4 linked regions of the Arabidopsis thaliana genome follow. The protein of the gene in region 4 purifies or fractionates together with the protein of the main gene of each other region. This does not show direct contact. Each region holds a gene or a part of one and is shown on either strand. Other genes may lie near its edges.

Region 1 (10,497 bases), on a different chromosome or scaffold from region 4:
CATCCATCTCTACATCATGATCTGTCCCAACGCTTAGCCTAGTGCTTATTTCCTCATTGATAGGTTCCAGAGGCTTAAAGCTCTCCCTCGGCATTCGATTCAGCGGTTGAATATCTAAATATGTCTGGAATGACTCACCTGACTTCTCATTAACACTCTGAAAATGTGTGGAGAAAGATAAGTTAATATGGGTTCTTAATGTAACTATATATCCACGAAAATAGGAATGTGTTTGTTTACCTGATCGTATGATTGAGCCATTTCAACTCTGCCTTGCTTGTTGTCAACGGCAGTTGCAGAATTTTTTTTTGAAGCTGCAAGATTAAAACGTTTCAGTTAGAACAAGAATCTAAAGAAATATATCCATTAGTAACTGTAGAAACTTATCAAGACACATACTGATGGGATCATTCTTAAGCATTTCTTTTTCTGCATCAACAAAGCTTGTTCCCTTTGTTTCAGCTTTTGCTTGTTCAGCAAGTATCTTTTCCTGCAACGAAGTACCAATATAGATGAACAATGTAACAATGTAGTAGTAGCATGAGAAGACAAAAGATTAAAATTACTGAGTCGGCACAAAATATTACGTACTGCGTACTCATACTTTATGGCATCCTCCATCTTCTTAACCCGTTTTCCCACATGGTCACAAATTCTTTTACGAGCAGATTTAGTATCAGGAGGGAAAGGGATATTCAGGTCTTTGCAGGCAACCTCTTGGAACCCTATCTCTTCGTCTTCAACGATGGCCACCCATCTACCATAGCCATGCCTATATTTTTACAAAGTTTCAAGAATGGAAGCAACATGCATGTGAGCAAACAAACAAAGAGAAACAAAATCAAGTAAGGATAATCGTTGAAGGGTTCTTACTTGGAAACAGCAGGAATCAGTATCCTATCATGTTCTTCCTTAGAAAATGCTCCATTTCTCAAATTGTACTTACTGATGACGTAGTTAGAGAAAACAGGTGCTGTCGGATGGTTGTCCAAAAATTGACACTGTCACATCAAACATTGAGAAGTGAGCTCAAACAAACAAGAGAGGACCAAACCAAATTTTATCAAACGAGAAACTTTCAGATATATAAACCACATGCAAAAACTTTAAGAAAGAATGCAATGAATCTTCTCAAGTTTTGGTTCGGTTACTAGTGCTAATAAGTAACTGTTTAAATTCCATAGACACTGGAAAATGGTAGGCTTACCTTCTCCTTTACTAGCATCATAAAAGTCATGCTCACTAGTAGCTCGTCACTGCTTATCCCTTCTTTGGGAACTCCATCTGCATAGACCATTGCCGTAATAACTTAAAAATATGATAACAGAAATAAGCAATTGGATATATCTAAGAATACCAACAAACATATAATCAATAAAGTGATAAATTACCTTTAAAATTTGTAGAATTATCGGTAGGGTTTTCGGCAATGTGTTTCAAAAATAAGATTCCATACCTGAGAAACAACAAATTTAACAAGTGTCAATGAACAACTGTTGGTTTTTGTAAAGCAGCTGAAAATAAGAGCATAAATGGCTTTAAGTCGTCAATACTTATTTATCTCGTCATAGGTCTTCATGTATAAGGGATTAACAAACTCCTTCCAATCAAAGTTTCCAGCTCCATACCTACAAAAGTTGTTTTGAGACACTTATGATATACTATGATGCTTTGAGAGACGCCAAACCACAATTTAGACAACATTATTAGAAAGAAGATATACCTCTTAAACGTACGTAAAAATATATCCCTCTCAGTCTCGTTAAATCCCAGCACCATGAGATATCTCCCTTCGCCTTCCATCAAAGGTATTTCCTCCGAATTATCTTACAGCAAAATAGATTTTCAAAGTTACTTAACTTGTAAACCTCTGAAACCAACAAGATGTCATCTTCAATGCAATATTTGGAAAAGTATAGTACCGCGAGCCCTTTTTCTGTAAGGCCTTGTAACCGTCCTCGGCTTTCTCTGTCGAGCTGCTTCGGGTTCATCTGCTTCCTCCTCCTCATCAGAGGTCACTTTTAAATCATCAAGACAATATTCGTCCTCCTCATCAGAGATTTCTTCTAAACCATCAAGATCATCTTCAGCATACATCACCTAGTAATATTAACAAAAGCAGGAATAAGAACACTTGTGCTAAAGGACATAAAACGATTCTGGAGAGGTGGGATCAAGAAGAGTATACGTACCTGCTTGCCGTTTCTCTTCCTCTTTCCAAGAGCACTGAGCTCCTCAGCTTGTTGCACTTCATATTTGTCTTTCAGCAAATCTTTCCAGTGACTTGTTCTATCAGCATTTCTTACTGAAGAATTGTTTTCTATAGCTTGTGCCTCCTCTAATGCTGCAGCCTCATTTTCATCATCTACATACTCAAAACTAGCCACCTAATATACAGGAAATAACATCAAAAAGAGAAATTATATTTGGAATTAATGCCACTAAATATATGTGTATAACTTAATATTGCAGGAAAAAAGGGTGTATATATATGCATGCACATGCACATGATGATTCTTGTAGCATATCCATTGAATTATTACTCTCTAAACAATTCTCTGGACCTTAACAAATATTGGATCATCTGATCAATAACCACTCATCTAGAAAGAGAAAGAGAAAGAAGTAAACCTTGAAATTCTTTAAAAAATCAGTTTCCTCCTCATCATCCAGTGAGACCTCCACAGCATCTACATGATTACGATCTAGCAACCTGCAGAAGAAAAGGTGTGGCTACAAATCATGAACATTCCATGCAATTGTATGGTGGCTTTGAACTATTAAAGTAAAATCACTAGGAAAGTAAAAACAAAGAAAGAAAGAAGAATATATTACTGTTCGATAGCAGCATCATCGTAATGGATTTTTCCAGACCTCCCTGCTTCATCATTCTCTTCAGAGAAAAGTTCCTTGGAACCATATTTGATGATGTCATCTAACTCGTCCTAATTACAGTCAGGGATAGAAAACAGTAATTAATTAAACCTTGTAGCAATAAGAATCAATAACAAATCGAACAAGGAATACATATATATATATATACCTGACAAAGATGTTGTTTTCCCACGACGAGATGCTCTAGAAGCATCTTGTTCTTGGTTATCTCCATCATCCGTTCTTCTACAGTACCTTTGTGAATCAGTCTGTAGATCATTACCTAAATAAGAAAATATAGGCTTAATCAGTGACATAGCTAGAAAAAGAATGAAATAGCAAGTGGATGATTCCACATTGACGCCATGAAAAGAGAACCTTATTTGTTTGGCCAAGCCGATGAACTCTAGCCATAGCCTGGAGATCAGCATGAGGATTCCAATCACTACAACACCAGTGAAAAAATCATGTCAATAAATTCATCACAACCATCTTAAATGCCTCTACAATATCTTTCCGCTATTAACTTAGAAGATCCAAACACTCTGTTATTCTGGAAAGAAACTTCCAACAAGCACTTTATCATTTCATTAAACAGATATTGGAACTCAAACCTGTCATAAATGATGACTGTATCAGCTGTTGCAAGGTTTATCCCTATTCCACCAGCTCTTGTACTGAGCAAAAAACAGAACCGGTTCGAGTTTTCTGCATTAAACCGATCTATTCTTACTTGCCTCTCAGGTCCACTGATCTTTCCATCAATCCGTTCATAATTCCAATTCTGACAAAATAAAAATAAATTTGTTACGGCTCAATATCATACAATAGTTTTTCCTTAATTGCATATAAGCAAATTATAAAAAGAAAGTTACTGTTCCTTGCGTCTCAAGATATATTAAAAAGTAACTTTTAAGTGGAAGGAAAAGATTATATCGCAAGTCATTTGCAGAGCGACAACACCAACTGAACAAATCAATAGGTCGACAAACAGATATAGCAGATTAGGTTACCTTGAAAGTGAAGTAGTCTTCCAAAAGGTAAAGGGTGTGTTGGAATTGGGTATAGATTAGCACTCTGTGCCCCTGCTCTTTGAGTTTGACCATCATTTTGTCTAACAGTTGCAACTTTCCGGAAGCTTCCAATAGTTTTCTTTAGAACAATTCAGAAAAGGTCAAGCAAAAGTCAGCACAAAATACTAAAAAGGAATCAATACGTCAAGATTAGTGATCAAATGTTACGTAAAAGCTTCATTTGCGTCTTCAAATCTTGGCTCAAAGTCTGGTAACAGATACGGATGAGAGCAAACTTGGCGTAATTTCATTAGCACGTTAGATATCTGAAACAGTTTAACCAGCCGAATTATCCTACCAAGTACAGTCTAAAAGGTTCCTAAACCAAGACAATATATATACATCTGCATAAGCACAAGAGATCCACAAAACTTACTTTAGCATCTCGTTTCTTTGTCAAGACTTGATAATTATTGGTAATAACAGCTTTGTACACTTCTTTTTGCTGGCTGCTCATATCAACACGCAAAATGAGCTCCTTCTTTGGGGGCACCTTATCCTTGAGCACGTCTTTCTTTAACCCTGCAATAACAATAAAAGCAAGATTAATCACCATGGTTATAGTTATCCCTTGGTGCGAGACTTCAAACGAAATGTTCTTAATAAGATTTGTTGGTTAATACTTCTGAGCAGATGCGGAGCCAACATTTGGTGGAGTCTTGAAATCTGCTCCTCTTTATTTATATCTTGAAACTTCTCCAAACTCCCAAACTGCAAGCATGGAAAATAAAATAATTAAAGCAAGCTTGTATGCTTATAATGACTATTTTAGAGAATAAACTAAACTTATTTTATATGCGTTATCTTTTGGCTAACCTTGTCCGCATCAAGAAAATGCATCAGAGCGAAAAGTTCATTCAAGTTGTTCTGAAAAAACACCAAATAAGTATTAGTGATACAAAAGAATTGATACCATAATAATTATAGTACTATTTCAGAGATCATAACTAATTAGGTAAACTTTAATGTAGGATTGAATGAACCTTGGGAAAGTCGAAGAACCAAAAATCGACTAACGACGAACCTGAAGTGGTGTTCCGGTCAACAGAACGATATGCTTACTTGTAAACTGACTCAATGAAGAGTACAGCTTTGACTTCTGATTTTTCAACCGATGGCCTTCATCAATAATCTAACCAAGAGAATGATATTCTAAGCAAAATATGAGATCTAAAAGAAAGACATACAAAGTATATAGTATCATTCAGATAATTAATACAGAAATACCATGCACGTCCACTTGATTGGACTCAGAACTGATATCCCTGGGTGAACCATCTCATACGTCGTGAGCAAGACATCAAACTTACTTTTACGCCCTTCAGAGAAGTAGAACTCATGTTCCCATATAACATCACGTGCTTCCGAATCCCCAGTGTACATAACCTGCATATATCATACGATGAAAACATTAATAAATAACTAATACCGTATATGTGACATATATATACGAAACATGATACATACCACATTCATATGTGGTGCCCAGGTGGCAAATTCCCTCTCCCAGTTACGGATGGTTGAGAGAGGAGCAACAACTAGATGAGGAGATAAGTTTTCCTCGAACAAAGAGGCCAAGAAGGCAATGCTCTGAATAGTTTTGCCTGCAGCAACCACAAAACCAATCTTATTTTACACAAATGATAAAAGCAAAGCCTATGAATAACCCCAAAAAAGAAATGGATTTTTGAAGACGTACCTAGTCCCATTTCATCCGCAAGGATTACATTGGTTTTCTTGGACCATGAATACCTTAGGAAATTCAGCCCTTCGAGCTGGTATGTATGCAATGTGCCTTAAAAACATATAAGGTAAGTAAATCAATAACATTATACAGAAACTGTATACAAATTGTTCAAGTAGTCTAATAAAATACCTGTAAGAAATTCAGGAGTAAGATCAAACTGTTTGAATTCCTCTCGATTTCTCTCATTTTCGACATATTTATCTCTACGAGAGCTAGAGTTTATATCCTTAAACCTTTGGATTTCATTCTGGAAATCTGAGATGTCAGATTCAGATTCCCAGTAACTATTTCTGTAAGAAAGTTCTTTGTACTTCACCAGATACTCCTCCCCATCATCTCCTTCCCTACATCATATCACAAACAAAAAAACCATAATTGTCAAAACGAAATCCATTAAGTGTCACACTTTTCTACACAGAAGATAGAGAAAGAAATATAAACGCATGAATAAATAATCACAAAGGAAAAAAAAAAAAAAAAAAACATAATTGTCACAACGAGGTCTATCAAGTTAAGGACATAAAAACAAAGGACAAGACTTGAATCACTTAACCGGCAAGCAATAATCCGGTCAACAGTTTTCCATTCAGGACGAATGGCGATAAACTCATGAGCTCCGTTCTCAGCGATGAATACGTCCATAGCAGCGTTAAACCTGGTCACCCTTAATTTTAGTTTTAAATGAGGATGGGACTTGTAAGCCTTCTCGAACTCCTGCTCGGGCACCCTAAGAATTGACATTAATAATCAAGTGATGATAAGATAACCAGACAAGAGAAGCAACAAAAACATAATAATCGACATGTTTAATTAAATACAACACGATATCGCATATTGCTGGGAATTTACCAAGAGCAGTGCAAGTACGATAACCCCTTCCACTTCACAAGATATTGTTTCACGACAACTAGGGTTGGTGTCCCGTTGTCAGAAGAATTCGGATTGTTAGATGCAGTAGGACGCCATTCACGGTCCAAAATCTTTTCAATCTCGCCAAGAGGACAATCCTGAAATGGATCAAATAATTAAAAGTCACTGCAGATCTATAATTTCACAACAAGACAAAGACATACCTGGTTACTTCCGCCTGTTTCTTCAACTTGTTCTTCACGAATGTATTCATCCAACTTGTCTTCAATATAATCTGGCTTTGGCCCGGTTCGTCTACGAAGCCTTTGCAACAGATTAGCCATTTCTCTGCATGAAAAAACCACAACAATGTGTTTGGTCAGTAAATATGATTCATTAAATTTTTAGATAAAATCGTAACAAGAAAGAGTGAAAAGAGAAATATCTCAGAAAATCTAAGACCAAGGAGGAGCGTACAAGATGAAGAAAATGCAAGGGAGCTAAAACGCAAGAGGGGTGATTCTTAAGGATATGATAAACGTCTGTTTATATATATAGAGAGGGAGTGGTCATTATTCTTTATTTCCTTTTAATTTTGTTTTATGGAGATAACACTACCTTTTTTTGTCAATTTCAATGTAAAGGTGAATTAATTTGTAACCAGAAGGGGATGCAGATGTAGTTGTGGCTGTGAGAAATTTTTAGAAGTGAGTCCTAGTGGTTTTTGTGAATGAAATTGTACCTAAAACCGTTAAGATTACGCGGCAATTTTGAAATTTCAACAAGAAATTCGATGATGATTTAAAATAAAATTATCAAAATAACCATATATTGAATAATTAAATATTTAAATATCATTAAAACAAAAAGTTATTTTATTTTATTAGTATAAAAAGTTGTTTGATTTATTAAGTTTCCTTGACACTGGTCAAACTATAAATTTATATGCTTACCAAAAAAAAACTATAAATTTATATTGTATATATACATTTATGTAACATAATTAAAAAATATATATCATATTTAGGGAAGAAATTAATTTAAAGTTTTTTTTATTTAAGATTCTTTGTCTGAATGGGTTGACCAGAAATAAGATTTAAATATTTAGTTATATCTTTAGTATCTAAAGATATGTGTCTGAAAACAAATAAATGAAACTTAAATAAAAATCTATTCAATGCAATATAATGTGATTTGTTTCTATAGAATAAAACAAATATTAAAGAGAGGCATGCAAATGGTAAGTATGAAAAAGGTTATAAAAGAAGAAGGAAATAAAGATTAGATTCATGCACTGTAATTTTGTTTAAAAATTAGCATTATCTTGAGTCTTGACCACAAAACCAAAATTAGTCGTCCGTTACAAATTGGAAAGGGATTTGGTTGTGACCAATAGTATGAAGATGGTTTACTTAGTTTCCAATACTCTATGGACAAATGGTGCATTTTTGTATTTGTTAGTTTTTTTAAGAGGTCCACATTTCAATTGATTAACGCTTTTTAAATTAACTAACACTTAAAAAAAGTTTTGTTACAAAGTATTATATAGATTTTAATTAATTGTAACAGCAAAAGCTTTCATAGCTCAGTTGGTTAGAGCACCCGTTTAGTAAGCGGGAGGTCTTGAGTTCAACTCTCAATGAAAGCAAATTTTTGTTATTTTACAATTAAAATCAGTTTTGTTCATTTTTATTAATCTTTAAAATAGATATGGTGTGAATGTTTCTCTTTATGCTTGGGCCTGTGGCCCTTTTTGGGCTTTGAAAAGCCTTGTAAGTTGACATAAAATCACGCTTATCAATTAGAGAATTATTAAAATATCCACCGAAATGTTTTCGGTGATAATGGGCTTTGAGTGCGTACCAGTAAAAGAAGGTTGAGACTTGAGAATAGCAATTAGCAGCGATCTGACCAAACAACACAACACAGTTAAATCATTCTCGAATACTTCCACTGGATGTCCACTGTGCAGCATGAAATTTGCATATATTTATTTTTAATTGATACAAGTTATTTTAGATGTTTATTGTATTTTTTTTGTAGAGCCATCCTAAAATAACCAAACCTTACGAAAAATAAATAATACAGAAACGTATCCAAAGGGGTTCTTACTCTTTAGAAAATTACTGAAATCAATTGTAGAAGAGCCTAAACATTGATTTAAATTTTGGTTTCTCGGTGGTTTTGTTGGACCATTTTTAGAGCTATAAACTTCTTCTAGAAATTCTTTTTTCTTAAAATGAAATATATTGTGTGTTATAGAAAAAGAATCATAAACAAAGCCCCAATAGTAGTAGCAATCTACTGATTTAGTATCATCAAAATGATGGGACTTGTGTAGAACTGTAGAAGCTTCCCTGACACACATTTTGTAAATTTTGAACGGTTGAAATTAGTGATGGCCTCACTCACCCCTCTCTTGTACTTTCACATTTTCTCTTCAAAGAAAAAAAAACAATTTTCATAAACGTTATCAATTTAAAAAATCATCAATGAAGAAAAAAGCATATAGAATTGACTTAAAATAATTGATAGAATAGCTTATCCGCGATTTATTATAAGACTGCATCCAAACACAGTTTTTTTTTTATTCTTTGATAAATCAATAAGTACTGCAAATTTTTGTTCTTTATAAAAAGAAGTAATCAACAGTCAACATTCGCTCTGTTTTCGCTTCCAAATAAACAAACAAATAATTATAATTCTTTCTTACAAAAAAATAAAAAGATATATATAAATCTTTCGCACTCTCTCTTTGCTTGTTGGTGGTGCATATGTAGTAAGTAGGTTAAGCTTAAAGAACTGATCGGAGAATCACAACCATGGCTAAATGTCACCGGAATAATATCGGATCTCTCATTCTTGACCGTGCTCCTTCCACTTCTTCTTCTTCTACTTCCGGCTACCATTTCCGTCTCTGGAGCACCTTCTCTAGATCCACATTCCGTAGAAAGATCGTCGACGCCGTTAGTTGCGGCGGTAGCTCACGTTACCGTCACGAGCTCCGGGAAGAGGACGATGAAGGAAGTTACGTGACGGTGACGGCGAAGTCAACAGTTGCATCATCGAAAGATGCGAAAGCTAATACGATCGGCGCGGCGTTGAACGGCGTAGCGTTCGAGGAGACATCGAAGAAATCGGAGAAGCTTTGTGATCTGTTGAATCTAGCTGAAGTTGAAGCTGATGTTGAGACGATGAAGAAAGAGGAAGCTCTTGAGGTTTTGAAGCGCGTGGTCAGAGAGTTACAATCAGCTGCGGCGGCGCGTGAAGATAACGATGACGGAGGAGACTGTCGGAAGAAAATAACGGCGGCGAGTGAGGTACGGTTGTTGGCGAAGGAAGACTCGGAGGCGAGAGTGACGTTGGCGATGCTCGGTGCGATTCCGCCGTTAGTTAGTATGATCGATGACTCGAGAATCGTAGATGCTCAGATCGCTTCGCTTTATGCTCTGCTCAATCTTGGGATTGGTAATGACGCGTAAGTCTCACTTTCATTGCCATGAATTTTTATTTCGGCCAAATAGTTTCTGTGTTTGTTTTGGGTTCATTCGTTAAGTCACTTTCCATGTCTTTTTTTTTTTCTGCTAGAGTGAGTATGAAGTATGGAACAATGTGTATAACTTGAAGCATTTATTTCAATATTTTACCCATTTTAGGACTTTCCTTGATTCTGTTTTGCAGGAACAAAGCAGCGATTGTTAAAGCAGGTGCTGTTCACAAAATGCTGAAGCTAATTGAGTCTCCAAACACTCCTGATCAAGAGATTGCAGAAGCTGTGGTCGCTAATTTTCTTGGATTAAGCGCTTTAGATTCAAACAAACCGATTATTGGTTCTTCTGGAGCTATAATCTTCCTGGTGAAAACTCTTCAGAATTTGGATGAAACAAGTAGCTCACAAGCGAGAGAGGACGCATTGAGAGCTCTCTACAACCTCTCAATCTATCAACCAAACGT
Region 2 (7,456 bases), on a different chromosome or scaffold from region 4:
CGGTTAATAATTTTCCTGATCTTCCTGCTGTCTTAGAACATCCATGTTCAAGAAATAGCTGTTATTGGAAAAAAGCCAAGTGCCTTTTTATCACTCATCACAACCCAATTCACTTAAAAATCAACATTAAACTTCCAAAATATTATGCTATCAAGCCAAATAGTTCCTCTTACAGCTTGACACAATAACTATGAAAAGAGTACAGATGACACTAAGAGAAGCTGAAATTCAAACCTGTCATAAATGATTACTGTATCAGCCGTTGCAAGATTTATTCCTAAGCCACCAGCTCTTGTGGAGAGCAAAAAACAAAACTTGTTAGAATTTTTGGCATTGAACCGATCTATGCGTATTTGCCGCTCAGCTCCGCCAACCTTTCCATCAATTCGCTCGTACTGCCATTTCTGACAAAGACAAGAAAATGAACAGCGTAAATCATATGAGAATTTTCCTTAACTGCATGTTAAAAAAAAATGTGCTAGAAAGAGATAAAAACAAGTTGTCTCAAGTGCATGCGTCAGCAAAAGCAATGGTATTGATAATGGCATTTCAAGAAACCAAAAAAAGTAATCTTTGAGGGAATAAAGAAGTTATATTGCCAACAGAGTAAGTAATGACAAAAATTCTAAGAAAGTAATTGCACCTAGACATAGAATCAACTCTACCTTTTTCAAGATCCTTAGGCAGTAAGTCGAGCATGTGCTGAACCGAGTGTATATGAGAACAAAGTGTCAAAATAAAAGAGCAAGAATACAGAGATCTCGTATATACGCAGTACAGATAACAAGTTCAGTACCTTATAAGAACAGTAGTCTTCAAGTAGATCCAGCATATGCTGAAACTGTGTGTTTATGAGAACTCTGTACACACAGTTTCAGCACATGCTCGACCTATTGGAAAACTACTGTACATAGAAGATGGCTAAACTTGTGATTTGTACTGTGTTTATAAGGAAACTTTGTGTCTTTGCTCTTTCAGTTGGGCACAGAATGCTCATATACTCTCAATTTCAGCACATGCTTGTATTTCCATAATTGTGCCTAAGTACTCTAACACTAGAAAATGGTAGAGTTGATTCTACAGTGTCAAAATGATATTCTACAAAAACAACAAGAATGAAAATCTACTGAAACAGACTGTACATATAAGAAGTTCAAATACCTTATGGGTACAGTAGTCTTCAAGTAAGTCCAGCATATGCTGAAACTGTGTGTATATTAGGACTCTGTGTCCTTGCTCTTTCAGTTTGACCATCATTTTATCTAGAAGTTGCAGCTTTCCACAAGACTCCAAAAGTTGTCTTTGATACATATAAGAAAACGTTCAACGCAAAAGTTAGCAGACGACTTTAATAAGTAGTAATAAACAGATAACCATTTTTGGGAAATGAGATATTACTTGAAAGCTTCATTTGCGTCGTGAATAACTGGCTCAACACCCTCTAGCATATAAGGATGGCAGCATACTTTTCGTAATTCCATCATAATGTTATTAAGGGAAATCTGAAACAGAAATAGACCAATACATTCACTAGACGATTACAGTTGACCTGGTTTCTACCCCACCTATGAGGTTTAATGATCCAAAAAGTGTAAACAAAAATTAAAAAGAACTTACTTGAGCACCTCCCTTTTTTGTCAATACTTGATAATTACGGGTAAAAATAGCTTTGTAATATTCTTTCTGCAGACTGCTCAGATCAACACGCAAAATGAGCTCCTTTTTGGGGGGCATGTCTTTCATTACGTCTTTTTTTACCCCTGGAAGAGCAATCAAAATACGAGACAGCATGGTTAAGATCATAAAATTATTACTATGAAAGATTCCCTCCAACCAAACTTTTGAAACACATATAAATTAAAAAAGATGAACAAATAGTTTTGGTTAATACTTCTGAGCAAATGTGGAGCCAACATTTTGTGCAACCTTGAGATCTGCTCCTCTTGATTAATATCTTTGAACTCCTCCTGGAACTCCTCCAAACTTCCAAACTGCAAGTATTGTGCAATCAAATAACATGTTAGCTACATAAAATTCTGTTAAGTATGCGAACTTATTTATCTTTGCTATTCTTGTGATACCTTCCCCGCATCAAGAAAATGCATGAGCATGAAAAGTTCATCCAAGTTGTTCTGTAAAGGCACCACATAATCATCAGTAACATATTGCAACTAATCAGGTAAGACATTAGTGCAAGATAATATATAACAATTCTCATTGCAAATCGTAGCTACTATGCTCAGATACAACTATTGAAAGTATAAACTTCAGAAATCAAACTCAAATGACGAACCTGAAGTGGTGTTCCTGTCAGAAGAATACGGTGGTTACTTGAATACTGTGTCAATGAAGAGAACAGCTTTGAATCCTTATTTTTCAGTCGATGACCTTCATCAACAATCTGCCCAAAACAATTGTTACTAGGCAACATGTAAGAGAGAAAGAGAGACGACTAAGAGAAAGTAAAGTCTCATTAGAGAATAAGAGTTACCATGCACTCCCACTTAATTGGTTTTAGAACTGCTGAATCTAGGTTGATCATCTCATACGATGTGAGGAGGACATCAAACTTGATTCTTTTTTGCTTGCTTTCGCTACTTATTTGTCCAGATTTCTTTTTCTTGATCTTTTTTTGATCTTTCGATAAGTAAAACTCATGTTCTCTGATAACTGCTCGAGCTTGCGCAGTGCCAAAATACATAACCTACCCGTCAAATGACCACGAAGACCATTCCATTAACAAACAACAAAAACATACAAATGGCACAGATCATTGCGTGTATAACTGCATACATACCACGTTCATCTGTGGGGCCCATGTGGCAAACTCTCTCTCCCAGTTACGCAGAGTCGATAGAGGAGCAATTACCAAATGCGGAATGAGGTTCTCCTCAAAAAGTGAAGCTAAAAGGGCAATGCTTTGAATTGTCTTGCCTGTAACAGGAAAAATCTCACAACATTACAGGAATAGAAAACAAAGGCCCCTTACAATGGATGAAAAGATCTATGTGACCACCCAAGTGGGACAATTGAAAAATTACCTAGTCCCATTTCATCAGCAAGGATTACATGCGTCTGTTTTGACCACGAGAACCGCAAAAAATTAAGTCCCTCAAGCTGGTATGGATGTAACAAGCCTTCAATCGCAGGAAACAAATAAATCATAACATCTATAAGTACCAAATATAAGAAACATTTATAGTATATGATTTAAGGTGATCCAAATACCTTTGAGGAATTCAGGAGTATGATCAAACTGTTGAAAGTCTCTGGGATTTCTTTTATGGTCAACATCTTTACTTCTGCGAGTTCTAGAATTTACATCCTTGAACCTTTGAATTTCATTCTGGAAGGTTGAGATGTCTGATTCTGACTCCCAATAACATTCATCATAGGATAGCTCTTTATATTTGACAAGATATTCCAGCTCCCCATCTTCCTCTCTATATCATAAAAGAAACCAATGCAACTGTCACAATTCCTGATTTACGAAACAACTAAGAAAATGGTAACTTAAAAAGAAGAAAAAAAAGGTAAGCAGGTCATTTATCATGTTTCAGAGACCCAAAATCGTGATAACAGTAAATTTAGGTTAAGCAGCACTCTATCAAAGATACGTGTTTATTAGAGAATGGATTATGCTGAAAACAAGGATATTAAAAAAAAAGTTGGCAGATAGATAAATAAAGGAATTAATTCCATTCTCTAGACCTGCAGGCAAGAATCCGATCAACAGTGGTCCACTCAGGACGTATGGCAACAAAATCATCTTCGCTGTTATTGAATGACTCCATTTGACGGTGAAAATTGTTCACTCTGGTTTTTAAACGATGATTTGACTTATAAGCCTTCTGGAACTCCTTCTCAGGCACCCTATGATTAGTAAAAGGAAATAAATCACATATTATAGTGTTCACAGAAAGAAACATTGATAATTAGCGTGTCCAGACAGCAAAAAAGACACGCAGTAACTACCAAGAGCAGTGAAGGTATGATAATCCCTTCCACTTCACGAGATACTGTTTCACAAAAATTGGCTTCGGTTCCGCATCGGAGGAACCTTGTTCACTAGATTTTGTAGGACGCATTTCACAATCCAATATCTTATCTATCTCGTTAAGAGGACTAACCTGCAAATGTAAACAACAATTCTTCCATGTAAGAAAAATGGAACCTGTAGCATCCCAAAACATAATTGTGGACCGTAACTAAAATCTTACACATTCAGGGCATCTCCAATTTTCCACGGAAGCATCTTTAAGAGGTGGAACTAAGCATTTAGCATGGAACGCATAAGTGCATGTATTGCAGCTTACAAGATTAGTACTTTCCCCACAAGCCTGACATGCATTTTCTTTCTACAAATTCAGAGTAACAACACAAAAAAAAGGATTAAAATAGAACACATAAAACAGTAAAAGCTGAACAATAAGCTCGAGAGGAGAAACAAACCGCATCAGTTCTGACAATAGCCTCGACTTGCTCAAAGGTTCGATCTTTTTTAGGAACGAAGTCGTCATCATCAGAATCATCTAGGTTATAAACTGGTTTCCTATCAGATCGTATGCGAAGCCTCTCCACCAAACTACTCATTTTCTGCACACAAAACATATCTCCCATCAATAACAACAAACTTACATAAACAACACATATAACAATAGACTCAGTGCTAGTTCTGAGACTTAAGCAAACTATGAAATTAGAGTTTCACACAATTGAACTCTACTACCTAAACAAACATCACAGTGAAATTTTTTGTTCCCAATCTAAAACCTTTACAACTATATCAAGAGATAGTTCGTACAATAGCTACTAAACAACTCGATTCATCAAACTCTATACCACATGAGCAAGATCGACTAACCTTGTGAAAGAGAACGAGAGAGAAATTGGAAAAAACCCTAGCCAAAATTACCCATAAGAATAAACAATTGAGCATCGAAATGTGAGTACCCAGAAGTCGAATTAACAATCTCTTACCGCAATATCATGAAAAGATCAAAACTTTACAAAACCCAAACAGTTTCAAACTCAGTTTGTAACGAAAATTTGAAAGAAAGGAAGAGAAAAATAGTAACTTGAGAAGTAATTTGAGAAGTCGAAAGCGATATTACTAGTCGAAGATAGAGTAAAAAGTGAAGCAGAGAAGAGTGTGGAAGAGAAGGAGAAGACGAACCTTTGAAATGGTTGGGATCTGTTTTTGCAGAAGAAGAAAGTAATCCGAAACGAACGAAACTTGAAAATTCAGACAACACAAATGATTTCTAACATTTAGCTTACCAATTTTAACTTATGGTTATTATTAACTTTAATACACTTCTTAAGGTATAAAATATCACCTCTAATTAAATTACCTTCTCAATATCATTATTTTTTCACACACAAAAAACTTACTTTTTTGTTTGAAAAAATTATAATTACTTCTAACTTATAAAAATAAGTGTCAAAAATAATGACAATTACTTTTCACTTACCCAATATTGTTATTATATAAACTTAGATATTTTTAAATATTTAAGTTTATTTACCTTTTCCCCTCAAAGAGGCTAGAGGAAGATTTAACATGCTTTGCTTGGTTTCGCTATTTATCATGGAGCTGAAATCTCTTGACGTGGGTTCACTCCTTGTTGGTGCTAATTATGGAGAAGATTTTGAGACAAGGTTTAAAACAATATTGAAGGAAGTATATGCTTCGAATGGGCAAACAATCTTGTTCATTGATGAGATTCACATTGTTATTGGTGCAGGTGCTCTTTCTTTTTTTGATTCAGATTATACATTAATAGATGACCTTTTTATTTATACACAATACTTGTATGCATTTTTTTACTCTGACCAAGTAAAACGTTTTGTATAAATGGTTTTGATGGGTGGTAACTCTATAAAAATGATTTTTCATCTCATTAGAAGAATACTGCATCGAACAATTATTGAGGATTAACACTGGAGATGAACAATTATGTCTACTAAGTATTTCTTGTATAATCTTGTGTCTCTATACTAATGAGTTATTACTCTTGTGTAGGAGCTACTTGTGGAGGCGTGGAGCAATAGAAGCGAGCAACTTCTTGAAACCGTTGCTTAGACCAGGTGAGCTGAGATGCATTGGTGCAACTATGTTTGTTATATCCACCTTAACTTATTTAGCTTAAACTTAACCAACCAAACCCACTAACACTTGTGGGGCTATAATTCACTTACGGCCCAATGGCCTTATTACAAAACACAAATCCAACTCCGTTCTTATGTTGGATTTGTGTCGTTGACTCTTCTTCCTCCTTTGGTCAGTGGTCACGACAACTTCTTATTCTCTTCTTCCTCCTTTGGTCACGACATCTTCTTCTTCTCTTCTTCCAAGCTTGGCTTCTTCTCTTTTCTTCATCTTCTTCTTCTCATGAAGCTTTCTTCTTCTTGTAGGATTTAATCTAGGATTCAATCTCCAACGACATTGACCAAAAATATATAGAGAGATATCCAACGCTAAAACGTAGGTTTCAGCAAGTGTTATGTAGTCAACCAACTGTCAAGAACTAATTGCGTAGCCCTTACAATATGTAATAACAATTGTAGCTTAAATTACATGCTTTGTTTTCAGATTTTAACTATTAAATTTTTGGTATATTTCTTTGAAATTTTTTGGATAGTTCACAAACACATTACCATATTTAAATCTGAATTATTATGTGACATCAATATATAGTATAACAAATGATGATGAACTATAATTTAATCGTATGGATACTAGCATAAAGCTTATAAAATGCGTGCTCCGGTGTTATTACACGTGGTCCAAGTTCGACTATAGAATACAATACAAAGGACACAAAATCTTCATGTACAATCAAAAATTATCAACCCCATATCTTATAGTTGGAAACGATCCAAAATAGGTTATATAAATAAAATATATAAAATATGTCAAGTATAACGGTCTCACATCACCCTTTTGGCTTTTGGGGAAATATCGGATTTATAGAAAAAAAAAAATAATAATAATAATTAAGACAATAAAATATTTGGTCTGAATCTTTTTTGAGATACTGTTGTATCATAACAATATCTTTTAGAGTCATTCAACATCAATCCACATGTATTGCACTGGAACATGCATTTTAATAAGGTTCTATGTTTGTTAAATTATGCAGTCATGTAATAATCAAATTTTATGATAATGTCTTTGTAAACGCTATAAACTAAAAATTTATAATAGTTACATGTGTAAAAAATGTTGTCGCTTAACCATGTCATATATATGTTGGTTGGTATACGTGGATATACGATACATATAATTGGTGTAGTTAGCTCTCATTTTTTCTTTTGTTTTGTACATTATCGTCGTACGTCGACTTTGTATACTACTTTATACTCCGTCAAACTAAAATAACTTAAAATATAATAAAATTGTATTCATTATATTCACAGAAAAATAAAAATGTTATTCTTGTAACAAATCAAA
Region 3 (6,734 bases), about 16 Mb from region 4:
GGGTAATTTTATGTGATATGGACTGTAATTTTTCGAAAAGTTCACAAGTGCCATTGGTAAATGATATATAAACTAATAACATCGAGAGGCGCACTATATGAAAAATGGAGGAAGCCATGCCATGAAAGAACGTCGATGCATTCAAAATGAGATTTGAAATTCCTAATTAAAGTTAAGACCAGTTGTATTAGTGTTATGCAGAGTAGTATATTATTCTACTTGGATTAATTCACAGTAAAGAAGAGATATACATAATTCAAAGGCTTATTGTTATTTCAAAGCAAAACATGAAGAGGTCACCCAGTTAAGAAGAGATACATAATAAATTCAGAGGCTTATAACATGAAAAGGTATTCGACAATAGATGAAATGAAAAGAGAAGACAAAGAGTACATAAGAAAGCGCGCACACACAGACACAGACACAGACCAAATTAATAGTTAATCATTCACTTGGGAGGGCGAGTAGCGTGAACTATCCCGTTTTCCTTTAACAGCTTAGTCTCCAACTTCACGAGAGACACGAAAGCAGGCCAATTCTCGGTACGATTGTGCATTTGGTCGCAGTTTGGGTCTACTTTCTTCAAGTAGGAGTGAGCAGCAGCTATGCCGATAGTGTTACCAATGATATCCACAAAGAGTGCAACCTCAGAGGTAGAGAAACTCATCTCCTTTCTATGCATCCACATAAAGATCTAACAACAACCAAAAAAACAAACTTTCATAAATCCTAACACAATGATCTCTAACTAGAAAAGAAATAGAGCGATGAATACAAAAGTTAGATAGATGAGAAAGATACCTGGAGAGCATCTACATGTTTGCCTTCCATGTAAGCTGCTTTGCCGAGCTGACGAGATCCGCCTGGGTGACGGGAACACCCTTCTTCTCTTCCTCCGCGATGATGAATTCTAAGGTCTCTCGGGTAAGAGACCTCAGCTTCTTGAAAATACCACTCTTTGCATTCTCAGCATCACAAGAGGAAGCAGAAGAAGAAGCTCCGTTGATCTGCCTGTTCCCTTTGTTCTCAGCAGAAGAAGAAAACGGAGCCGTTCTCGCGATCTTAATCTCAGCAGAAGAAGAAGAAAACGGAGCCATTGTTCTCGTAAGCGTAGAGATCTTCATCTCTCTTTTCCATAGATGAAGAGAACCTGATGATACCATTCGGCGCAAGGCCAACATTTTCCAAACCCTAATTTTGATAACCCTAATTCTCTAATATATAAAACAATCAAGTTGCCTTGTTAAAATCAGGATATGATCTCTCTTATATTAGTAGGTTACTTACACAATTACCTACATCTTTGTCGATTTGTCAGTTTGACTTATGAATCAGTCTACTAGATTGTAAAAATAAATAAAACGATGAAATGTCTATAATACCCCTAACTCTACACACGTGTGAACTTTTTGAATAGTACTGGACCCGGGTCAACCACACACAGTAGACACGAGCCTTCTTCTTCTTCTCTAAGCGAGTGAAGTAAGCTTACCAGTGGCAGTGAGTGAGCTCTTACCAGTGTTTAGGGTCTTCTGCAATTTTCCTTGTTTTGATCGGGAGCTTGATCAAGACTACTGATGCTGAGATTTACGAAAATTGCCAACGGTCTCTATGTTCCCGGTGACAGTGAAGCTCTTTACGCTTCCAAGTTTCAAGACTCCACTGCTACTTTGACTTCGCCTATCTCGCTGGTACAAGGTCTGTGGAGGTTACAGTATGGGTGATAACCTTTTCCTTCTGCGAGGAAAGCATTGTCTCGGCTTTTACTTTTGTTCATAACTTGTGGATATTGGATAGTAAAGCCTACCACTAATGGCATAACATTCAGGATGCTTCTTGGTGTGCTATGATTTGTTATAAGCGAATCACTCTCGTTGGCTAAACACTTTGAGAAAATGACTCTTAAAATGCTCTCTTGGGCTATACTGGAAACTTGCTGTGTTCAGTGGATCTTCAGGTCCTTGTTGACAACCATTAACAAGCTTAAGGTAAGAATAAAGAAACCAACAATACTTTCAGTCCTTTGATGATTTATAATTCCATAACAGACTAAGGGCAGTGCATATAGATATCTTTCGTACTCATCTGCTTTTTCTGGTCTCCATCACAAAAGCCAACTAGGTAATCATATCAATCTCTCTTTACCGTTTACTCGACCTTTTCCAATCAGGTGCTTCTGGTGTGTCTACTACTATCAGTTTTAGGTCTTTGTATACCTGATCTTATCTGCTACTGAGGCTTGTAAAAGTGATTAAAACTGTGACATTTACTCTAAGAGAAGTAACCTGTTTGATGCATTTCCCTAATATACCGGTGTGGAAAAGTGTAGGTATCTGTACTCAGCTGAAATGGTGGACGATTTTGAAGAAGATGAACTCTCATTGACTGAAAGCGGGTTGAAGAGTGAAGATGGCGTTATTATCGAGATGAATGTCTCCTGGATGCTTTTATTATCATGTTTGGGAATTTACCAAGGGAGAGGTATCAGAATCTATCTTAGAAGGTTACATTTAGCTCAAGCTTGCATCAACATCTTTACTTAGAGCTCTACGGGTTTTAGTGTGTTTGAAGTTTCTTAACTCCTAGTATAATTAGAATCTTCTGCAGCAGACTTTAGAGTTTTGGGATGTAGAGCTAACCAGAGTCGGTTTGTTTAAACTAGAATCTTTTTATGTAGCAGACTTGTTCAGTACCTGAATACCAGTTTTAAATTACCGTCAGATGTTGATCTTGTTGGTAATAATGGAGAAACGGAAGAATAATTAGACGAAACAAACTCTTTAAGAACGTATCTTTCAGTTTTCCATCACAAATTTTCTTACAAGCTACAAAAATCGAACTATATATAACTGAACCGAATTTAAACCGGAGGGAGGGTTTGACTTTGGTCAATCACATTTCCAATGATACCGTCGTTTGGTTTGGGGAAGCCTCGTCGTACAAATACGACGTCGTTTAAGGAAAGCCCTCCTTAACCCCAGTTATAAGCTCAAAGTTGTACTTGACCTTTTTAAAGAAGCACGAAACGAAAAACCCTAAAATTCCCAAGCAGAGAAAGAGAGACAGAGCAAGTACAGATTTCAACTAGCTCAAGATGATCATCCCTGTTCGTTGCTTTACTTGTGGAAAGGTTGATATTTTCCCCTTCGCTTTGGTCTTATTTAGGGTTTTACTCCGTCTTTATAGGGTTTTAGTTACTCCAAATTTGGCTAAGAAGAGATCTTTACTCTCTGTATTTGACACGAATGTTTTTAATCGGTTGGATACATGTTGGGTCGATTAGAGAAATAAAGTATTGAGCTTTACTAAGCTTTCACCTTGTGATTGGTTTAGGTGATTGGAAACAAATGGGATCAGTATCTTGATCTTCTCCAGCTCGACTACACTGAAGGGTAAGCTTACAATGATTCTCACTTCTTGCTGCTCTAATCATCATACTTTGTGTCAAAAAGAGAGTAATTGCTTTGCGTTTTAGAGAAATTAGCCCAGATTTCGTATTGGGTCTGTGAAGTTTCATATTAGCTAACACACTTCTCTAATTGATAACAGAAGCTATAAAATAGATTTGCTGATGAAGGAGTTAGCTTTTTATAATCTTCTGTGTTTGTGTTTTACTGTCTGTGTCATTGGAAGAGACTATGTCCTGCCTATATAATCTCTATGTGCCTATCTAGATTTTCTATACAATTGATATTTGATAGAAGTAGAAAGTAAGACTTAAGGTCTTTTGATTAGACTTGTGCCCATCTACATGATTCTTATTGGACTAATCATTCTTTGTGTGAAAATAGAATACTTTGTCTGAACATGAGAGAATGGTTCATAATACGTGTGAAGTATGGGATTAGTTCAACAATTTCGCTATTGGAGAAGCAAACCAAGGGTTAATCGTTTATAGGGTTAAGCTAATGCTCTGCTCTTTATATGTTATTGGAACAGACTATTGTTGTGCCTATCTTGTTTAGTTGTAGATTCTATCTCGACTGTTATAAGTATGACTGAAGGCTTGATGACTTATGATTCTCTTTACACCTGTAGAAGGATTTAAGCTTGGTGTCTAGATATTCAATCTGTGTTGGTTTTGTCTTTCTTTTGGCTCTTAGTGTTGTTCAATCTCCTCAATAGGTATGAAGTTACAATATCCTTATTATTTTGCAGGGACGCACTTGATGCACTCCAGCTAGTCAGATACTGCTGCAGGCGTATGCTAATGACTCATGTTGATCTGATTGAGAAGCTTCTCAACTACAACAGTATACTCTCCAAACTCTTATCATATGTTGTGTATCTTTTGACTCGGACGTTATTGTCCTTTTCGATTTATTTACTGGTACCCACGTACTTTTCCTTGCAGCTCTGGAGAAATCAGACAACAGTTAGAAGAGGATGCAAATCTGCTGAAAAAGTTTTCCTCTTTAGAGGCTTAAATATTAGTATGTATGAAAACATTTGGTGTATGTGGTGTAGACCCTTCAACTCCATCTAAAATTATATATGTGTGTCAGTTACTTTCTCGTGTGATTCAATCTCATGATTTCCTGACCTTGAAGATTTCTCCTTTGGATTCATGTTTCATTAGTATTATTGAGGTGATTTTCATGGCCATAACTGAAAACCTTTGAGAAAAGAGTTAAAAGTCACTGGTCTTCATAACCTTTTGTATACAAAACGCAAGTACAACAGAATCGTCCAACTGTTTAGTGTGTTCAGGCTCGGGCAAGAGTTTTCAAATCTTCCAAACGAACGGTTAAAATAAAATGTATAACCAAAGAAGAATGAAGAACACAGTGTAATCATATCTGGCTTATGTAACCCGACCCCGTTCTTAAGGGAACATATCACATTCAAATCTCCAATAACGATCCCAAACCACATAAGATGTGTTATTAAGATCCAATTAATCGGGACTAAAACCAATTCGAGAGAACAAACGAACGATGACTCAGTACCCATTAATCTGTCTTCCTGTTGTTGTCGATCCTACCAACCGAGAGAAGGGTTGCTGCTGCGTTTGGTTGTTGCGGCTTTTGTTAAAACTGTTGCTGCTTCCAATTCCAGATTTAGGGTCAGAGAAAGGAGAATAGGCTTGAGCTAGCTCAAGAGCAGAAGCTGCTTTTCCGTGACGAATCCCTGTTCCATTTGGTGAATCCAGTTTCTGGGGAACCGGCTTTCGCCATGTCTCTGGTGATGGATGTCTTGTCTTCTCCTGAGTCTGCTGTTGCTGTCTTGCGCTCTTGTTTTCATTTTCACGCCAGTTTCTCCTCTGAGTTTCGGATCTGGCAATGTCGCTTACATTTCGCCCATCCTTTTGGTCGAATTTCCTCGTTCTCATGTCACGTGGAGAACTCACTGGCCTTTGACTTGCATGCTCTGGAACTCTTTCAATCGGTTTGAGGACCATCCTTTTGATATAAAAGAAAAAACAAAAACAGAACTTTAAATTAGATAGTTGGTCTCAATGGAATCGTAAGTGTTGGATCGCAGAAAGTATACACAGAATGTGAGTGGGTAGAGAAACCCGTTCTACCTATCTGTCGGTTGATCCAATTTGTGATGCTCGGGCTCATCAATGCCTCTCTCCTTCAACACCTGTCCAGGAAATCAAATGATGATAAACAAATGGACAACATAACAAGAGTGAGTTATACAACAAGATGAAACAAACTGCACTCACCAGCTCTCGTGGTCTGGCACCACCAAAAACCGCACTTCTGCACCAGCCAGTACAAATTTTAAGAACAATTCTTCTATATAACTATAGTTATGTCCCCAAGCTCCAAAATAATTATTACCGAGCTGGGACAAAAAAATGTAAGTACCACATTGTTACCTGTCCTTTTCAGTTTTAACTTCTGGCTGCTCAAGCAACTGTGCCACAGGCTTCAGATTCAACTTGGGCCGCTCAGCCGGCTGGTTAGGAATCTCATCTGTAGACAAACCAGATTTTGAATTGTTGAAACTTTTCTGTGTCGCATTTTCACGTTGTATAAGGACTGAAGCACTATTTTCCTGCAGATACAAAACTGAGGTATCAGAAACATAGTTGAGGAAAAAAGAAACCTGAAAACTAAAGTGGCAGTTCAGAAACTTGTAACAACTATACCAGTTTTTCGTCATTCACAGGTTTCTCCACACTTTCAAGTGGTTTTGTCCGAGGAAGCAGGTTCAGCTTAGGTCTTTCCACAACTTCAGAAGGGGCAGTTGGCTGCACCAAATGTCCAGCAGGCTTAACGTCAGAGTATTTTGGATGAGGTTTATCGTTGGTGTTTGCTACAATTTTCGCTTCCTTAGCATCCACATAAGTTGGACCAGGGATTTTCTCATACTCACGGGAGAGTTTTTTCCCACGCTGGATCCCATCTTCAGCAATCAGTGCCCGTTCTACATGTGTTCCATGTGGCTCAACCCCTTGACTAATCACAGGGCTATTAGTCTTATAAACTCTGGTATCTATCTCTGAATGCTTAACAACATCAAAACCCATCTGAGAAGGAACCAAAAGCTTGGACTGCCATCCTCCTGAAGACACTTGGTCAAGCGCACTTGTATGGACCAAATTCGAAACAGCTGGTTGTTTAGTCCATGGAGACTGTCCAGGCTCATTGTTAGCAACTGATACCTCCTTCCTCCCATTCCAAATATTAGAGTGATTTCCTGACACTGAGTTCTCAATATTACCAGTCCCAGAATGAGTCAAAGGACCAGCTGCCCAACCACTATGCCTCCCAGCTAAA
Region 4 (6,371 bases):
TTTCTAGCCTTGTCTAGATTATACACGCGTCACACTTCTAAATTTATATCTATCTTTTACTAGATTTTTCTATTATTTATTGTTGCCTACATATTTCTATTTTGTTTTGTAATAAAACTAAACCTGATTTGAAAATTATAAAAGCACTACGTGACACGATTTGATTCGATATACTTAATTTTTGAAACATAAACAATATAAACAAAGATAAGAAAAAATACCACAAATAGAAATGTCAAACTCTGCAAATAAATTCAGAAATGGAAACAAAATAATATTTTAAAATATTTAATAAATTGTGTGTGAATAAATATGCATTTGTTGAGAGAAGAAAACCATAATTAAAAAAAAAAAAAGAGAAAAGGAGTCAAGATTAGTCTTTTAAGCCATAGCCAATACCCAATTTGCAGAGACAGAGGAAGAGAGAGAAAGATAGTGAAGAGAAAGAAACAACCATGTTCTGAGGAAGGAGACATGCATCATCATCATCATTCATCATCATCATCATCATCATAATCTCAAGCTTATTACTTAACTTCTTTTTCTCTCCATCTCTTCTTACCAAATCCAAAGCACCAAAGGTCTCTCTCTCTCTCTCTCTCTTCTTGTTCGCTTAATTTATTTGGTAGTGATGTTATGATTTGGTTGCTCAGTTTCTACTTATGATGATATAATTAAAAATAATAATTTTTGAGTTATGAGAGAAAAAAATCTTTTGGTTGGTTTCTCTGTTTTCTTGGATCATTAAGTTCAATGAGATTTGATGAGTTTTTTTATCTGTTCAAACTCAGAAATTTAATCTGTCGATTTTAGTTTTTGTTTGCATGTTGTGTAAGTTCTAGCCATGTTCAAAGTTTGAATCTTTTGGAACCCTTTAGATCATGAAACAATCTTACTGTGTCATTGAACCTGGAATCTGTGTTTTAGGATTGCTTTTATAATCTTTTGGTATCATTTCTCTCTTGTATTTGTTGATTATGTGGATCATGAATAATATCATATGATTTATGACTGGACTTGTTGGTTTGGACATTTAGTTTATTGAAGTAAAGATTTGAAGACAATGCAAGTGTTTCAAAGGAAAGAAGATTCATCTTGGGGAAACTCAATGCCTACAACAAATTCAAATATTCAAGGATCTGAATCTTTCAGCTTGACTAAGGATATGATAATGTCTACAACACAATTACCCGCGATGAAACATTCGGGTTTGCAGCTGCAAAATCAAGATTCAACCTCATCACAATCTACTGAAGAAGAATCAGGCGGCGGTGAAGTTGCAAGCTTTGGAGAATATAAGCGTTATGGATGCAGCATTGTTAATAACAATCTCTCAGGTTACATCGAAAACTTGGGAAAGCCTATTGAAAATTATACTAAGTCAATTACTACCTCGTCGATGGTGTCTCAAGACTCTGTGTTTCCTGCTCCTACTTCTGGTCAAATATCTTGGTCTCTTCAATGTGCTGAAACGTCACATTTCAATGGTTTCTTGGCTCCTGAATATGCATCAACACCAACGGTAATATGCTGTGAAGCCTTTTGTGCTTTTACTATTCTGAATCGATCTGGCGCATTGATTGGTTGATTGGGAAATCTTTTTGCAGGCGCTGCCACATTTAGAGATGATGGGTTTGGTTTCTTCAAGAGTGCCATTGCCTCATCACATTCAAGAGAATGAACCAATATTTGTCAATGCGAAACAGTATCATGCGATTCTCCGTCGCAGGAAGCACCGTGCTAAACTCGAAGCTCAGAACAAACTCATCAAATGCCGTAAAGTATGACTGTTTTCACTTTCCATTTTGCCTAAAACACCAAAGAGAAAGAGGGAAAACTAACTCAGAAGATCTTGATGATTTGATGTAATAAAGTTTTGTTTTCTTTTTCTGTAGCCGTACCTTCATGAGTCTCGCCATCTTCATGCTTTAAAGAGAGCTAGAGGCTCCGGTGGACGTTTCCTCAATACAAAGAAGCTTCAAGAATCATCAAACTCACTGTGTTCTTCTCAAATGGCAAATGGACAAAATTTCTCTATGAGCCCTCACGGTGGTGGAAGCGGAATCGGGTCTAGTTCGATCTCACCGAGCTCCAATTCAAACTGTATCAACATGTTCCAAAACCCGCAGTTCAGATTCTCAGGTTATCCGTCAACACACCATGCCTCAGCTCTCATGTCAGGGACTTGAGGCACATGAGAAGACCTTGCTCCGAGAGAACTCAGGCTAAACTCCGGAGACTGGTGATGATACATGACGGGAAGTCATCCTTGGCTACTTATGTTATCGGTTACAAAATTTCTTCCTTTTAAAAACTTTGCTTTCATATCCTCTACAATCTCTCACTCTATATTGAGTGACTTGACGAACTTTCAAATCATTGTCAAACTATTTTGTTAACTTCCGATTCTCTGAGAGTACAAATTGCATTACCCTATTACATACAATGAGAGAAGATTCAGGGTCACTAAGAGTAATATACACGCATAGATCCCCTAATGCTCTGAAGACAAACTGGACACTTAGGGTTTAACTCTCGTTCCACGGTTGAAGCACATCGCCTGCAACATACTACATGTCCACAGGGAATAAACGCAGGTACTCTCCTTCTTGACACGCAGATCACACACAATTCTCCATCTGGGATTTCATCTGCATCTTCGGGTTCATCATCGACCACAGAATCGTTCGGTCTCTGTGGCAGTTCTCTCTGATGGTTCCATTGTTTCCATTTATTCCAGGTCCTGAAGATAAGACAGTTAAACAGATTTCAAATCGAAACATTGCCCAAATCTAAAACCAAATCTGATCTCTCACAACTCCAGTACCTGACAGCAGCATAGCTAAGGATGCCAACAGACACAATGCCCAAGATAACGCTGCCCAAGAATATAAAGTTGGTCTGTTCCATAAGGTCCTCAATCATCTTGTCCTTGGTCATCTCTGATCTGCAAAGATTATTCATAAAGATTTATATATGAACAGCAAATAGAGCCTTTCTGCAACAATGGACTAAATCTTGTCAAATGATCAACAGATTGAGAAAACATAAAGAAGAAGATGAAGTAATAATTTGAGCTAGAACGCAGGCAGATATATAAGAACGAAAAATATTCAGATAAAATCTCACAAGAAATAAGGAAGATCTTGGCACGATTTGATTTCAGGAACTCCATTATTAAAACTGTAGATGCCAACAGCTGTTATATCTTTCCCAGGTGGTAAAATCTTCTCTATATCAAGCAGACCAACCTTGGAAGAGAAAGGATTACAAAGTTAGCCAAGAACAAGTAACCATCAGTTCCTCAAAACCAGAAATTTCTTTGAATATATATATACTCACAGGATAATCGGGGTACAAAAAGGCTTGAAGAAACGAAGAATTAATAGGCTGCAAGCGATTATACACAGTGGTAAGCGGAAGAGGTTGCCTTGAGCCATCCATGTTAACAGCGACAAAACTAGAGTTCGATTGCTGATCCTTTCCAACAATGACAAATGGGACCTGCACAAAGCAAAGGATACACAAAACAAGTTTGATCATGGATACAGAGCCAAAGTTGAAAGCTCTGAAGCTGATAGAGAGACTTTACCGTTCTCGTAAAATCAGCACCGTGTTTGCGCAATGATCTCTCCAACATAAACCGGTGACCAGTGGACTGAAACAATCTCTTCCATCCACTATACACATACTGTCAACAACAAAATGATGACATTAGAAACATACATTTCCCTTCTGAGATCACACCAGTACCAACTTACATAATCCTAACTTAATCAATCACAATGAACACCTAATCATGAAGAAATCATCCAAACTCTTTAACCTAAGCCTTTGATAAGAACACAAAGCAAAATTAGGTCAATGTCAATTGCAATTTGAGGGAAACATAAACACTTAGGGTTTAGAGCAACGTACAGTTTGCGTTCTCTGAATGATAAGAGCTTTATCTCCAGTCTCCGGAGAGATTAACACGTTGTTGTTCTTGTAACCCTCATCACCGGAAATTTTCGGTTTGACGACTCCGCGAACCACAACGATTCGCTGATCATTGCTCTTCCTGTTATCGTTAGTCTCTGATTTGTCTTCAGAAGCCGGAAGCAGTGATCGGAGGTCGGAAATGGAGACTTCGGGTGCATCTTTGATCTTCTTCAACGCGGCGTTGGTAGAAGCATACTTGAGAGCAGAACCGACGGCGCTAACAGCTAAAGTCAGTCCGAGGATTGCGCCGTCGAAGGAGAGAGCGATGTCCGTCAATAGATTCAAGAGAGCACGCTCCGGCGAGGACATTGTGGTAATTTCGATTTCAACGTCGTAGACACGGTCACACGGACAAGTAAACGGAAGAGAAATGAGGCTATTATCGGTATTTAATATTATACATTCGACCGTCGTTCTAATTTGGGTCTTTAATGGGCCTATGCACGAGTGAAATACAAAATACTAGTAATAAATAGCGTTTTAGTTAAATTACATTTACACCCTCAACGTTACAGCAGATTTACAAACCAAAACCATAAATATCAGATCTAGAGTGGCAGAGATTAGTATTTCCCGATTCCTCGCCGCCGTTCATCAATCTCTCCGTCGTGTTTCTGCCACTAGCTCTCCACCAAACTTTCTCTCTCGCATTAGGTATTTATCGCCTCTTTATGGCATATAATCTTGTGTTTTGGAACTTATTGATGAAGCTAGGTTAGAATCTCCTTTGTCTTTCTTATCTCCGATTCGTGAAGCTCTAATTCTTATTTATTCGATTTATGTAATGTGTTGCTGTTACACGATGTTTGCTTGTGAGATTCGATTGAAACTTGTGTTGTTGCAACATCAATTCTGTATAAGAAAGGTTCTTAATTTGACTCTGTAGCTTTACTTTTTTTTTAGTTGTTTAGGGATAAACATGGCAGGAGAAGGTGAAGAAGATGTACCTAGAGATGCTAAGATTGTGAAATCTCTGCTTAAGTCGATGGGTGTAGAAGACTACGAGCCTCGTGTGATACATCAGTTTCTGGAGTTATGGTACCGGTATGTGGTCGAAGTGTTGACAGATGCTCAGGTTTACTCAGAGCATGCTAGCAAACCCAACATTGACTGTGATGATGTGAAGCTCGCTATTCAATCCAAAGTTAATTTCAGCTTCTCACAGCCTCCTCCAAGAGAGGTATGCATTGTTGACGATTCCATGTTTCTTCTTCTTCATTGTCTGAGAAGAGATGCGATATGATCGGTCATTTGGTATATGTGAATCATTAGGGAATTATCACTCTTACTTATGACTTATGAACTGTGTGTGACCCTCTTGCCTCATAAATTGTATCACTGAGAACCTCAAGTTTTTGTCTGTCACATCCATGCCTTTTGGTTCCTGAATCTTGAAGTTTCTGTTTTTGATGTTTGATTTAGGTTCTGCTTGAGCTTGCTGCAAGTAGGAACAAGATACCTCTGCCAAAATCGATAGCAGGACCCGGTGTTCCACTCCCACCTGAACAGGACACATTGCTGAGCCCAAATTATCAGCTCGTGATACCGAAGAAGTCGGTTTCAACAGAACCTGAAGAAACCGAGGACGATGAAGAAATGACAGATCCTGGACAGTCCTCTCAAGAACAACAACAGCAGCAACAACAAACCTCAGACCTTCCAAGCCAAACTCCTCAAAGGGTCTCTTTCCCACTCTCTAGACGACCCAAATAAGTACCCAAATAAGTAGATAGACCAAAAAATCTATAATATTTATGTATCAACAAGTAGAAATGTAACACAATCAAAAATTAATGACCAGAGCCAGTTTTTATGGACCAGATCCAGATGTGTGGTTTGAAGATTTAGAATGTAAGAGAATCAAATATTAATGACCAGAGTCAGTTTTTTAGAACATATAGGCATATCTTATATACACTGTTGTGTGGGAATCAACAATACCGAAGGTACAACAAATCTTCTGAAGCATTATACTATATATGCAACTATAGTATATATACATGAACAAAGGTAATTAAGAGAATCAGTTAGCTTCCCCAGCCAACCATGGTACCAGTAGCTGCACGGTGAGGCCGTGAAAACGCAAGCCCTCGATCATACATCCGCTGAATTTCCTCTCTGTATTCAGTCAGAGACTTGTCAGGTATGGCTGGAGTCAGCTCCACCACATCTCCCATCTTCAGCTTGCATTTCAGATCACTTACAGGTGTCTGGTTAAGTCTTGGCCTTAGCTCTTCCTTTGCCGGGATGCTGTACATTGACCATCTCGAGCTCCCTGGTCCTGCTCTGCGTAACAGGTCCGACACGGTAGAATTCTCGGGAAACTCTTGCACAGTCATCTGCATTTTCGGGTTTATCAAATTATAACTCCAAGCAAAGAAACATCCTCA

What was found.
Region 1: the proteins of TAFII21 (region 4) and PKR2 fractionate together in Arabidopsis thaliana (co-fractionation; one large-scale study listed by BioGRID). This does not show direct contact.
Region 2: the proteins of TAFII21 (region 4) and PKL fractionate together in Arabidopsis thaliana (co-fractionation; one large-scale study listed by BioGRID). This does not show direct contact.
Region 3: the proteins of TAFII21 (region 4) and NRPB10 fractionate together in Arabidopsis thaliana (co-fractionation; one large-scale study listed by BioGRID). This does not show direct contact.

The regions. Positions count from the first base shown.
Region 1 is NC_003075.7:15,427,918-15,438,414, reverse strand, and holds the start of PKR2 (chromatin remodeling factor), read right to left. Parts: upstream 6,888-10,497; coding exon 6,768-6,887; intron 6,702-6,767; coding exon 6,544-6,701; intron 6,532-6,543; coding exon of another isoform or gene 6,462-6,531; intron 6,422-6,461; coding exon 6,248-6,421; intron 6,039-6,247; coding exon 5,824-6,038; intron 5,743-5,823; coding exon 5,647-5,742; intron 5,552-5,646; coding exon 5,415-5,551; intron 5,334-5,414; coding exon 5,175-5,333; intron 5,080-5,174; coding exon 4,972-5,079; intron 4,815-4,971; coding exon 4,764-4,814; intron 4,659-4,763; coding exon 4,571-4,658; intron 4,470-4,570; coding exon 4,324-4,469; intron 4,214-4,323; coding exon 4,116-4,213; intron 4,027-4,115; coding exon 3,888-4,026; intron 3,659-3,887; coding exon 3,489-3,658; intron 3,320-3,488; coding exon 3,253-3,319; intron 3,158-3,252; coding exon 3,044-3,157; intron 2,946-3,043; coding exon 2,836-2,945; intron 2,714-2,835; coding exon 2,632-2,713; intron 2,388-2,631; coding exon 2,193-2,387; and 20 more. Other genes in the region: AT4G31890 (ARM repeat superfamily protein), read left to right, coding at 9,366-10,021, 10,225-10,497. UniProt on the Arabidopsis thaliana protein: Chromatin remodeling factor that represses the expression of embryonic trait genes upon and after seed germination and thus enables the developmental switch to post-germinative growth.
Region 2 is NC_003071.7:10,711,548-10,719,003, reverse strand, and holds the start of PKL (chromatin remodeling factor CHD3 (PICKLE)), read right to left. Parts: upstream 4,940-7,456; coding exon 4,865-4,939; intron 4,597-4,864; coding exon 4,453-4,596; intron 4,359-4,452; coding exon 4,221-4,358; intron 4,131-4,220; coding exon 3,976-4,130; intron 3,874-3,975; coding exon 3,712-3,873; intron 3,444-3,711; coding exon 3,229-3,443; intron 3,138-3,228; coding exon 3,042-3,137; intron 2,935-3,041; coding exon 2,798-2,934; intron 2,705-2,797; coding exon 2,492-2,704; intron 2,402-2,491; coding exon 2,294-2,401; intron 2,133-2,293; coding exon 2,082-2,132; intron 1,992-2,081; coding exon 1,892-1,991; intron 1,761-1,891; coding exon 1,618-1,760; intron 1,503-1,617; coding exon 1,399-1,502; intron 1,301-1,398; coding exon 1,162-1,300; intron 909-1,161; exon of another isoform or gene 806-908; intron 405-805; coding exon 235-404; intron 1-234. Other genes in the region: AT2G25169 (uncharacterized protein), read left to right, coding at 4,990-5,073, 5,546-5,661, 6,026-6,090, 6,289-6,398. UniProt on the Arabidopsis thaliana protein: Chromatin remodeling factor that represses the expression of embryonic trait genes (such as NFYB9/LEC1) upon and after seed germination and thus enables the developmental switch to post-germinative growth. Silences some MADS-box proteins such as PHE1 and PHE2.
Region 3 is NC_003070.9:3,859,426-3,866,159, forward strand, and holds NRPB10 (RNA polymerases N / 8 kDa subunit), read left to right. Parts: upstream 1-2,973; 5' UTR 2,974-3,094; coding exon 3,095-3,130; intron 3,131-3,333; coding exon 3,334-3,392; intron 3,393-4,158; coding exon 4,159-4,253; intron 4,254-4,354; coding exon 4,355-4,380; 3' UTR 4,381-4,649; downstream 4,650-6,734. Other genes in the region: AT1G11470 (Pentatricopeptide repeat (PPR) superfamily protein), read right to left, coding at 449-694, 802-863, 953-1,097; AT1G11480 (eukaryotic translation initiation factor-like protein), read right to left, coding at 4,943-5,402, 5,528-5,589, 5,675-5,711, 5,831-6,009, 6,104-6,734. UniProt on the Arabidopsis thaliana protein: DNA-dependent RNA polymerase catalyzes the transcription of DNA into RNA using the four ribonucleoside triphosphates as substrates. Component of RNA polymerase II which synthesizes mRNA precursors and many functional non-coding RNAs.
Region 4 is NC_003070.9:20,213,399-20,219,769, reverse strand, and holds TAFII21 (TATA binding protein associated factor 21kDa subunit), read left to right. Parts: upstream 1-4,504; 5' UTR 4,505-4,635; intron 4,636-4,884; 5' UTR 4,885-4,900; coding exon 4,901-5,161; intron 5,162-5,403; coding exon 5,404-5,694; 3' UTR 5,695-5,871; downstream 5,872-6,371. Other genes in the region: NF-YA5 (nuclear factor Y, subunit A5), read left to right, coding at 1,064-1,522, 1,608-1,781, 1,896-2,189; SPL2 (E3 Ubiquitin ligase family protein), read right to left, coding at 2,467-2,743, 2,828-2,947, 3,130-3,251, 3,343-3,504, 3,593-3,691, 3,919-4,290; RSH3 (RELA/SPOT homolog 3), read right to left, coding at 6,009-6,320.